Linked DNA regions of Sus scrofa. The protein of the gene in region 1 binds, or shares a complex with, the protein of each later gene. Links are inferred from orthologs where the notes say so. Each region holds a gene or a part of one and is shown in the gene's direction. Other genes may lie near its edges.

Evidence for each region. The genes of interacting proteins can lie anywhere in the genome.
Region 2: MYBBP1A (region 1) and DEK share a complex: the UniProt entries of both Homo sapiens proteins name them as parts of the B-WICH complex. The link is inferred for Sus scrofa from reciprocal best matches to the Homo sapiens genes MYBBP1A and DEK.

The regions. Positions count from the first base shown.
Region 1 is NC_010454.4:50,503,261-50,507,536, reverse strand, and holds the start of MYBBP1A (myb-binding protein 1A), read left to right. Parts: upstream 1-1,460; 5' UTR 1,461-1,509; coding exon 1,510-1,716; intron 1,717-1,934; coding exon 1,935-2,033; intron 2,034-2,686; coding exon 2,687-2,770; intron 2,771-2,858; coding exon 2,859-2,933; intron 2,934-3,034; coding exon 3,035-3,142; intron 3,143-4,276. UniProt on the Homo sapiens protein: May activate or repress transcription via interactions with sequence specific DNA-binding proteins. Repression may be mediated at least in part by histone deacetylase activity (HDAC activity).
Region 2 is NC_010449.5:13,904,348-13,907,997, reverse strand, and holds part of DEK (protein DEK), read left to right. Parts: coding exon 1-90; intron 91-401; coding exon 402-550; intron 551-3,650. UniProt on the Homo sapiens protein: Involved in chromatin organization.

The DNA.
Region 1 (4,276 bases):
TGGGAACAAAATAAAGATCAAGTCTCCTGGCTCTCATGTGCCCTTCCTGCTGCTTGGTTAATTTCACATCAGCTTTTGAGGTGCCTGTGGTCCAGGCTTCGCCCACAGATGCAGAGCTGGTGCCTGGTGATTTTTTGCTCCCCCCCTGTTCTGCTTACCTTCTGCCTCCTGAGGCACCATGTGTACAAAGTAAACTGCTTATTCACATTTTCTTTTTTTTCTTTTTGTCTTTTTGCCTTTTCTAGGGCTGCTCCCGCAGCATATGGACGTTCCCAGGCTAGAGGTCAAATCGGAGCTGCAGCTGCCGGCCTACGCCAGAGCCACAGCAACGTGGGATCCGAGCAGCGTCTGCAACCTACACCACAGCTCACGGCAACACCGGATCCCCAACCCACCGAGCAAGGCCAGGGATCGAACCTGCAACCTCATGGTTCCTAGTCAGATTCGTTAACCGCTAGCACCACAAAGGAAACTCCCAACTGCTTATTCACATTTTCTGAAACAGACAGCAGAGGGAGGGGTTGAGAGGGTGAGTAGGAGGTGCCCCGGGGGCCACAAAAGGGGCCGGATCTGGGTAGCCAAGGCCCTCCCCTCCCTGCCTCCCTAAGGGCTGGGGTCTCTCTGAACTATAACCCTCTAGAGACAGCTTGTCAAGCCAAGAAATAGGGGTGGCCAGTAGCTCTCCTCTCCTGCACTGTAAACGGTATCTCTGATCTAAGAGGACTTTTGATCCCACCACCTCTCCCTCCTTGCTCCCCCCACAAACACTAGTTCCCCCAGCTCAGTAAATGATATCACAGTCTACCCACTTTCTTTGTTTTTCTTTTTTTAGGGGCCACACCTCCAGAATATGGAAGTTCCCAGGACAGGGGTCAAATCGGAGGGAGCTGCAGCTGCCGGTCTACATCACAGCCACAGCAACGTCAGATCCAAGATGTGTCTGTGACTTAAAGCCTCCGCTTTCGGCAACACCAGATCCTTAACCCATTGGATGAGGCCAGGGACCAAACCTGCATCCTCACGGATATTAGTCAGATTCTTAAGCCACTGAGCTACAAGGGGAACTCTCACAATCTACCCACTTATTTTGGCCCCAAACCTATCATCCTTCTCTTTTTCATCACCTTCTACCAGCTCCAAATTAGCTGGAATTTTCTCATATTACCTTGGTCCAATCCACCACTGTGCAACTGGTCTTCCTGCTTCCACCCCTGCTCTCCTGCAATCCATCCCCCACACAAAGAAGACTAGTCTGCTAAAAGTATGGATAGGATCAAGACTTGTCCCTGCATAAAACCCTCCAATGACTTCCTATTACAATCAGAATAAAATCCAAACTCCTGAGCTCCCTGAGTGAGCGCGGAAGGGCCCAGCCGCCCCCGGCCCGGCCCGGCCCCGCCCTTTCCCCCGCCCCCAACCGGCTCCGCCCCCAGCCGACCCAACCCAGTGCGCACGCGCCGCGACCTGACCCGGAAGAGGCAGTCTTCAGGTCCCACGTGTTCCACGAGCATGGCGGAGACGGAGAGTATGGACGTCGCTGAGCCTGTGTCTCCGGTGGAGGTCCCGAAGACGGGCGCCGGGCCTGCCGACCGTCATGGTCTGCTGAAGCACAGCCGCGAGTTCTTGGACTTCTTCTGGGACATTGCGAAGCCGCAGCAGGAGACGCGGCTTGAGGCCACGGAGAAGCTGCTGGAGTATCTGCGCGCAAGGCCAAAGGTGTGGTGGCGGGGCCTGGGGCAGGAATCTGCGGGGCTTGGGGGCAGGAAGCTGCGTAGATCCCGGCAAAAATATGGCGGCGGGCCCCAGGACTCGGGACTGGGGTCATGGAGTCGCGAACCTGGAGGCCGAGGCGAATGCGCGCCGAAGCGCGAGGATGGGCGGGTGCCTGACGCGTCTTTTCCCTGGTGCACCTGGGGATGTGCTTGGTTCCTCAGGGATCGTCCGAGATGAAGTACGCCCTGAAGCGCCTAATCACCGGGCTCGGGGTCGGACGTGAAACAGCCCGGCCCTGCTACAGTCTGGCCCTAGCACAGGTGAGGTGGTGGCTCCCTGGAGGAGGCCAGCCATCCTACTCGGAGCGGTGGGGAGTGAGGAGGGCAGATACGGGGGAAGTGGCTGCTGAGAGGTTGTTGGGGTGGCGTCGGAGCTAATGGAGGGTGTCCCCACGTGGACGTGGAGAGAGTGTGTGAGCAAGATCTTTCTGCAGAGACGCCCAGGCAGGTGGAGTGGGAGGGTGAGTTTGCTTTTGAGTACATGGGTTCACCAACCACCAAGGTACATTTACTGTGGGCAGTAAGCTTTGGAGTGGGTTCACTTACCTTTTTAGGGTTCAGGGTCCGCCCCCCCCACTTGGCTAATTATAGGCCACCCAGTCCTTGTGGATCAGCCTGGGGGGAGCTCAGCAGGCTCTGGGGCAGAATGTCTCGGGGATCTCGGGGCACAGTCCAGGGGCTAAAGGAAGTACTTTCTGAAACAGGGAGGCAAGATTTCTCTCCATTCACTGCAGTGTTCCATCGTCAGCACTGCCCAGCATGGGGTGGGGCGTAGGCAGCTTTTGAGGCGTCCTTTGGATGGGAGCAGGGGCCCATGGACTCTGGGCAGAAGTTGAAGGGAGAAGTGGGAGGAGGTTGAGGTCTGAGGGATGTGGCTGGGCCGCTCCCCTGAGCCCCTCTCTTCCTCCTGGCAGCTGTTACAGTCTTTTGAAGACATCCCTCTCTGCAGCATCTTGCAGCAGATACAGGAGAAGTATAACCTGCAGAAGGTGAAGAAGGTGAGAATTAGTGGCCCCAGGGAAGTCGGCAGCCCCGGGGTGGGGAGCGCTTGGGCCCTTCTCACCAGTGCCTGGAATCCTTTTCCAGGGGATGATGAGACCAGCTCTCTTTGCAAACCTGTTTGGGGTGCTAGCCCTCTTTCAGTCAGGCAGGCTGGTGAAGGTAAGAGCCTTGGGGATCCCAGGGCGCGTGTGGACTAGCTTGGGAGTTGGAGGAGTGGCAGAGCCCTGTTGACACCCTGTCCCCTTCTGGGGGGGTCCCAGGACTCGGAGGTGCTGATGAAGTCGGTGAAGCTGCTGCAAGTCCTGGCTCAGCACTACAACCACCTGCAGGAGCAGCCCCAGAAGGCCCTGGTGGACATCCTTTCTGAGGTACTGGCTCACCAGCTTTGGGGCCTCTGATTGATAGCGCAGCCTGTTCCAGAACGTGGGGAAGACTCAAGTTAATGCCTGGAAGCAGGACTGTCCACAGATACATAAATGTGCACTGTGACACTTTGTAGTAACTAAGTTTAAAAAGTAAAAAGAAACAAGTATAGTTGAGTAGCATGTTTTATTTAACCTAGTATATCTGCAGTATCACTTTAGTCTGTAATCGGTATAAAAAGTTACAGAGGAGTCGTTCCAGTGTCCTGGCTCAGTGGAAATGAATCCAACTAGGAACCATGAGGGTGCAGGTTTGGTCCCTGGCCTTGCTCAGTGGGTTAAGGATCCGGCATTGCTGTGAGTTGTGGTGTAGGCTGGCAGGTGTAGCTCCAATTAGACCCCGAGCCTGGGAATCTCCATATGCTGCGGGTGTGGCCCTAAAAATACAAAGGACAAAAAAAAAAAAAAAGGTACGGAGGTAGTTGAGGAGTTCCCACCATGGCACAGAGGATTAAGAATCTGGCTGTAGCAGCTCGAGTTCCTGCGGAGGTGCAGGTTTGTTCCCCAGCCCGGTGCAGTGGATTAAAAGACCTGGCTTGCCACAGCTGTGGCTCGGTTTCAATCCCTGGCATGGGAACTTCCATATGCCACACACAGATGGCGGCCATAAAATTTTTTTCGAAAAAGATCTATAGGCCAGTAGCTGCAGCTCCATTTTGACCCCTGGCCCGGGAACAGCCCTTAAAAAAAGAAAAAAGCTGTAGAGGTATTTTATGGTTCCTCTCATGTTAAGTCTCCAAAACCCGGTATGCATTTTACACTGACAGCACGTGTCCATTCAGAATAGCGAATTCTAAGTGCTGTGTCCATGTGGGGCCAGTGGCTGCCATATTGGGTAGCAAGAGGGTGAAACCTGTTGGCCATTATTGTCTGGGTCGGAGCTGGCCCCTTCGGGGGGTCCCCACCACTCTGCTTGGGAAATGGAGGCGGACTAGGACCTAGAATCCTTTGCTGTTGGGGAAGAGGCAGGGACTGGCACGTCCCAGGCCAAGGCTTTCTTTACAGCCCCAGCCACAGAGCCAGAAGGACCCGGAGTTCGAATCCCAACTCTTCACTTGGAGCTCCTTGTATAAGAAGCAA
Region 2 (3,650 bases), on another chromosome or scaffold:
CTTCTAAAAGTAAAAAATCTGTAAAAAGTGCTAATGTTAAAAAGGCAGATAGCAGCACCACCAAGAAGAATCAAAACAGTTCCAAAAAAGGTACGTTGGAAATGAAACATTTTCAGCAACTATAAAGATATAACTTATGTGCCGCAACGTAGTTTTAAGCCTGTGTGAAAAATAGCTAAACTGGAGGACACTGGGGGGCAGTAGTGTCCCAGTTTTTATAATTTTTCAAAATTGACAATTCCAGTGCATGTTTTATAGGTAATGTAGAGTGGTGATTTATAATTTTTTTGATCTAATCTCCTTTGAGCTTCTGGCGAATACTTACAGAATTGTTCTGTATCTTGAATGTTAATTTATTATGTACAAATATTTATTCTCATGTAATAAAATCTTACTTTTAGAAAGTGAATCTGAAGATAGTTCAGATGATGAACCTCTCATTAAAAAGTTGAAGAAACCGCCTACAGATGAAGAGTTAAAGGAAACAGTAAAGAAGTTATTGGCCAGTGCTAACTTGGAGGAAGTCACAATGAAGCAGATTTGCAAAGAGGTGATTGGGCAGATGCTGAGATCATTTTGCTTTTATTTGATCATTCTTTCACCCATCCCTCAATTCAAAGCTAGATTCTTATGTATATTCATTCATTGAACAAATGTTTATTGAACATGTCAGTTCAATAAATATTTGCCCCATTGGAGTCATTTCATAAATAACAGTAGAATGCACACAGTGACCTTTAAGGTGATACATTCCAAACTTCATAGGAAATGTTCTCGTCCTCATCTGGAAACTATTTTTATTGATGTGTCTCTAGGTTATGTTTTTAAAAGCAGAATCTTGTGGACCCCCTTATTTTCAGTGTTACTGTGTTAAATGAGATCTTGTAGATTAGGTTTTTAGCTCAAACTTCTGTGAAGCTCTTTTGTTACTTCTCAGGAAATAAAGTGATCTAATCTTGAGTATGATTCCATAGAGATTCCATATTCTAGATCAAAACTGGAAGATTTCAAAGCCTACTTTTCATAGTAAAATGAAATTGAAATTTGAAAGGTACCAAAGGGGAAATATTCTTTAAGACATTGATTATTGTTTTGTTTCCTCATTCAGCATTCACTGAGCCTCCATCAGGCACCAGGATAGATGTTAGAGGTCGAACTGCAGAAGCCGTTACTTGGCTTCAGTGGTCTTGTGGTCTCGTGGGAAGAGACAGCTGTGTAGTCACTGGAGTATTGTGTGTGAGAGCTGTGTTATAAGAGTGTGGAGGTGCCACTACCCACAGGACAGAGTACCTGCTTGGGACTAGGAGGTGGGGATCTGAAAAGGCGTCTTGGAGCTCCAGCATTCATACTGTTAAAGACTGTTGACACATCCACATAAAATAATGACTATGAGGAATAGTCATTAGTTTAATTTGGCTGAAGACTAGAGTTGGAAGGAATTCTTCGCAGAAGTTAGGAAAGAACACTGAAAGTTTCCAGATTTTACATATGACTTGTTAAAGAATTTGATTTTCTTCGGGAGGCTAATGGGGAATTGGGAGTCTGAGTAGGTTATTGAGAGCTGTTTGGCAGGGACATAACACCATCAGATTTTTTTTTTTTTTTAAGAGTCATCCTAGACACATCAAGAAGAACAGACTGGTAAAATAGGAGATGAGAGGCAAGAGAAACCCAGTTTACATCATAATCAGAGTTACAGGTTTACTATAGTCCAAGTTTGAAGTCAGGAGAGCCTAGTCACAGGTTGCTTCCTTGTGGGTAGGAAGGAAGGGCTTGGGTGCATTAATCAGAGTAGGGGATAGAACCAAAAGAAGCCTTAGTTTTTGAGGAATCGAGTTTTGCTCTAGACATTTTTAGATGGGGTTCTTGAAACATACAAGTGGGAAAAATTGTGAACAGTATAATTCTACAGGTAGGAGAGAAACCTAGACCAGCCTGTTCCTGGAAGTAAACCAGAAGTATAGGTGAGGTGGCCCAGCGAAGAAGAGGAAGGGTGAGAAAAGCAAAGGACAGAGTCCTGGAGACCATTAACAGCATCAAATTGTTGAGAAGTAATTGCTACAAAATACAAGAAATGTAGTCAGTAGTAGAAGGCAGGCCAGAGAGAGTAGTGGTTTAAAAGCCAAGTGAGCAGAGTTTCACAAAGACAGTCAGGAAGGGGTAGTGCCAAGTAGGAAAAAGTATTTGACTTTAGACAGGACAATGGCCATGGAAAGGCAGTTCACAGGAAAGAAACATAATGACCTGTAAACATGAAAACAACCTTCCCTACTCCTGAGGAAGATAGAAATGGAAAGGAAATGTTTTTGTTTATTAGCTTTAACAAAATCTTTATAAACAGTTTTCAGGGTTGGCAAGGGTAGAGGGAAATAAACTCTCATCCTTTAAGCTGTAACAACTTGGGAGAATAATTAGGTGGTATGTTAAAATTTATTTTTATTTTTAAGATTTTCGCTTTTTCTATTCTAGTTGATTTACAGTGTTCTCTCAATTTCTGCTCTACAGCAAAGTGACTCGGTCATACGTATACACACACACACACACACACATTCTTTTTCTCACATTATCCTCCATAATGTTCCATCACAAGTGACCAGATATCATTCCCTGTGCTATACAGCAGGATCTCATTGCTCATCCACTCCAAATACAATAGTTTGTTTGCATCTATTAACCCCAAACTCCCAGTCCATCCCACTCCCTCCCCCTCTCCCTTGACAGCCACACGTCTGTTTTCCAAGTCCATGAGTTACTTTCTTTTCAGAAGATAGGCTCATTTGTGCCATGTTTTAGATTCCAGATATAAGTGATATGTGGTATTTGTCTTTTTCTTTCTGACTTAATTTCACTTAGTATGAGAATTGTTGGTTCCATCCATGCTGCTGTAAATGGCATCACTTTGTTCTTTTTTATGGTGGAGTAGTATTCCATTGAATATACCACATGTTCTTAATCCATTCATCTGTCGTTGGACATCTAGTTTGTTCACATAAGAGCCGTTTTGAAGGGTGGTAAATGCAAGAGTTATTTACCCTTGGACTGAGAATTAATAGTTGAGGGAAAGTGAATGAATTAAAGCTTCTGTTTTAGTAATGAAATTGGGGGAAGATACAAGTTGGTAAAAACTCGATTTTAAGGTCAGGGAGGGAAAGCAGAAGCATGTGTTGGGCTAAGGGACAGTGCTGGGATAGGAGAAGCTGAGGTATAGGAGCCCTAAGGGTGGGTCTCTGCAGACGTAAAGGAAACGGAACTGTTGATGAATCCAGATACGAATGAACTGGTGAGAGGAACGGGTACATCAGAAAGGGGAAGGAACTCATAGTAATGGCTTCTTGGCTGAGAGCAAGAGTGTGGGACACTGGAATAAGGGGGTGAAATTGCCACTGATGAGAATGCAAGGGGACCTGATAAGAATTCCTTGGGATTTCTAGGGAGCCTTTGACTTCGAATACCATGAACTTAAAAAGGGACCATTCTTTTCAAAGTTAACCATAGGAAAGTTGGAAGTTGGTAGTTAGACCAATTCCGGGTTGGAATTTTGCAGAGAAAGTATAATGGGCAAACAATTAGAGTAATGTAAATAAATGATTGACTCAGTTTGCAGGGTTTGGGAAACTGCAGTGTGTAGGCCATTGCAACACAACGGTACC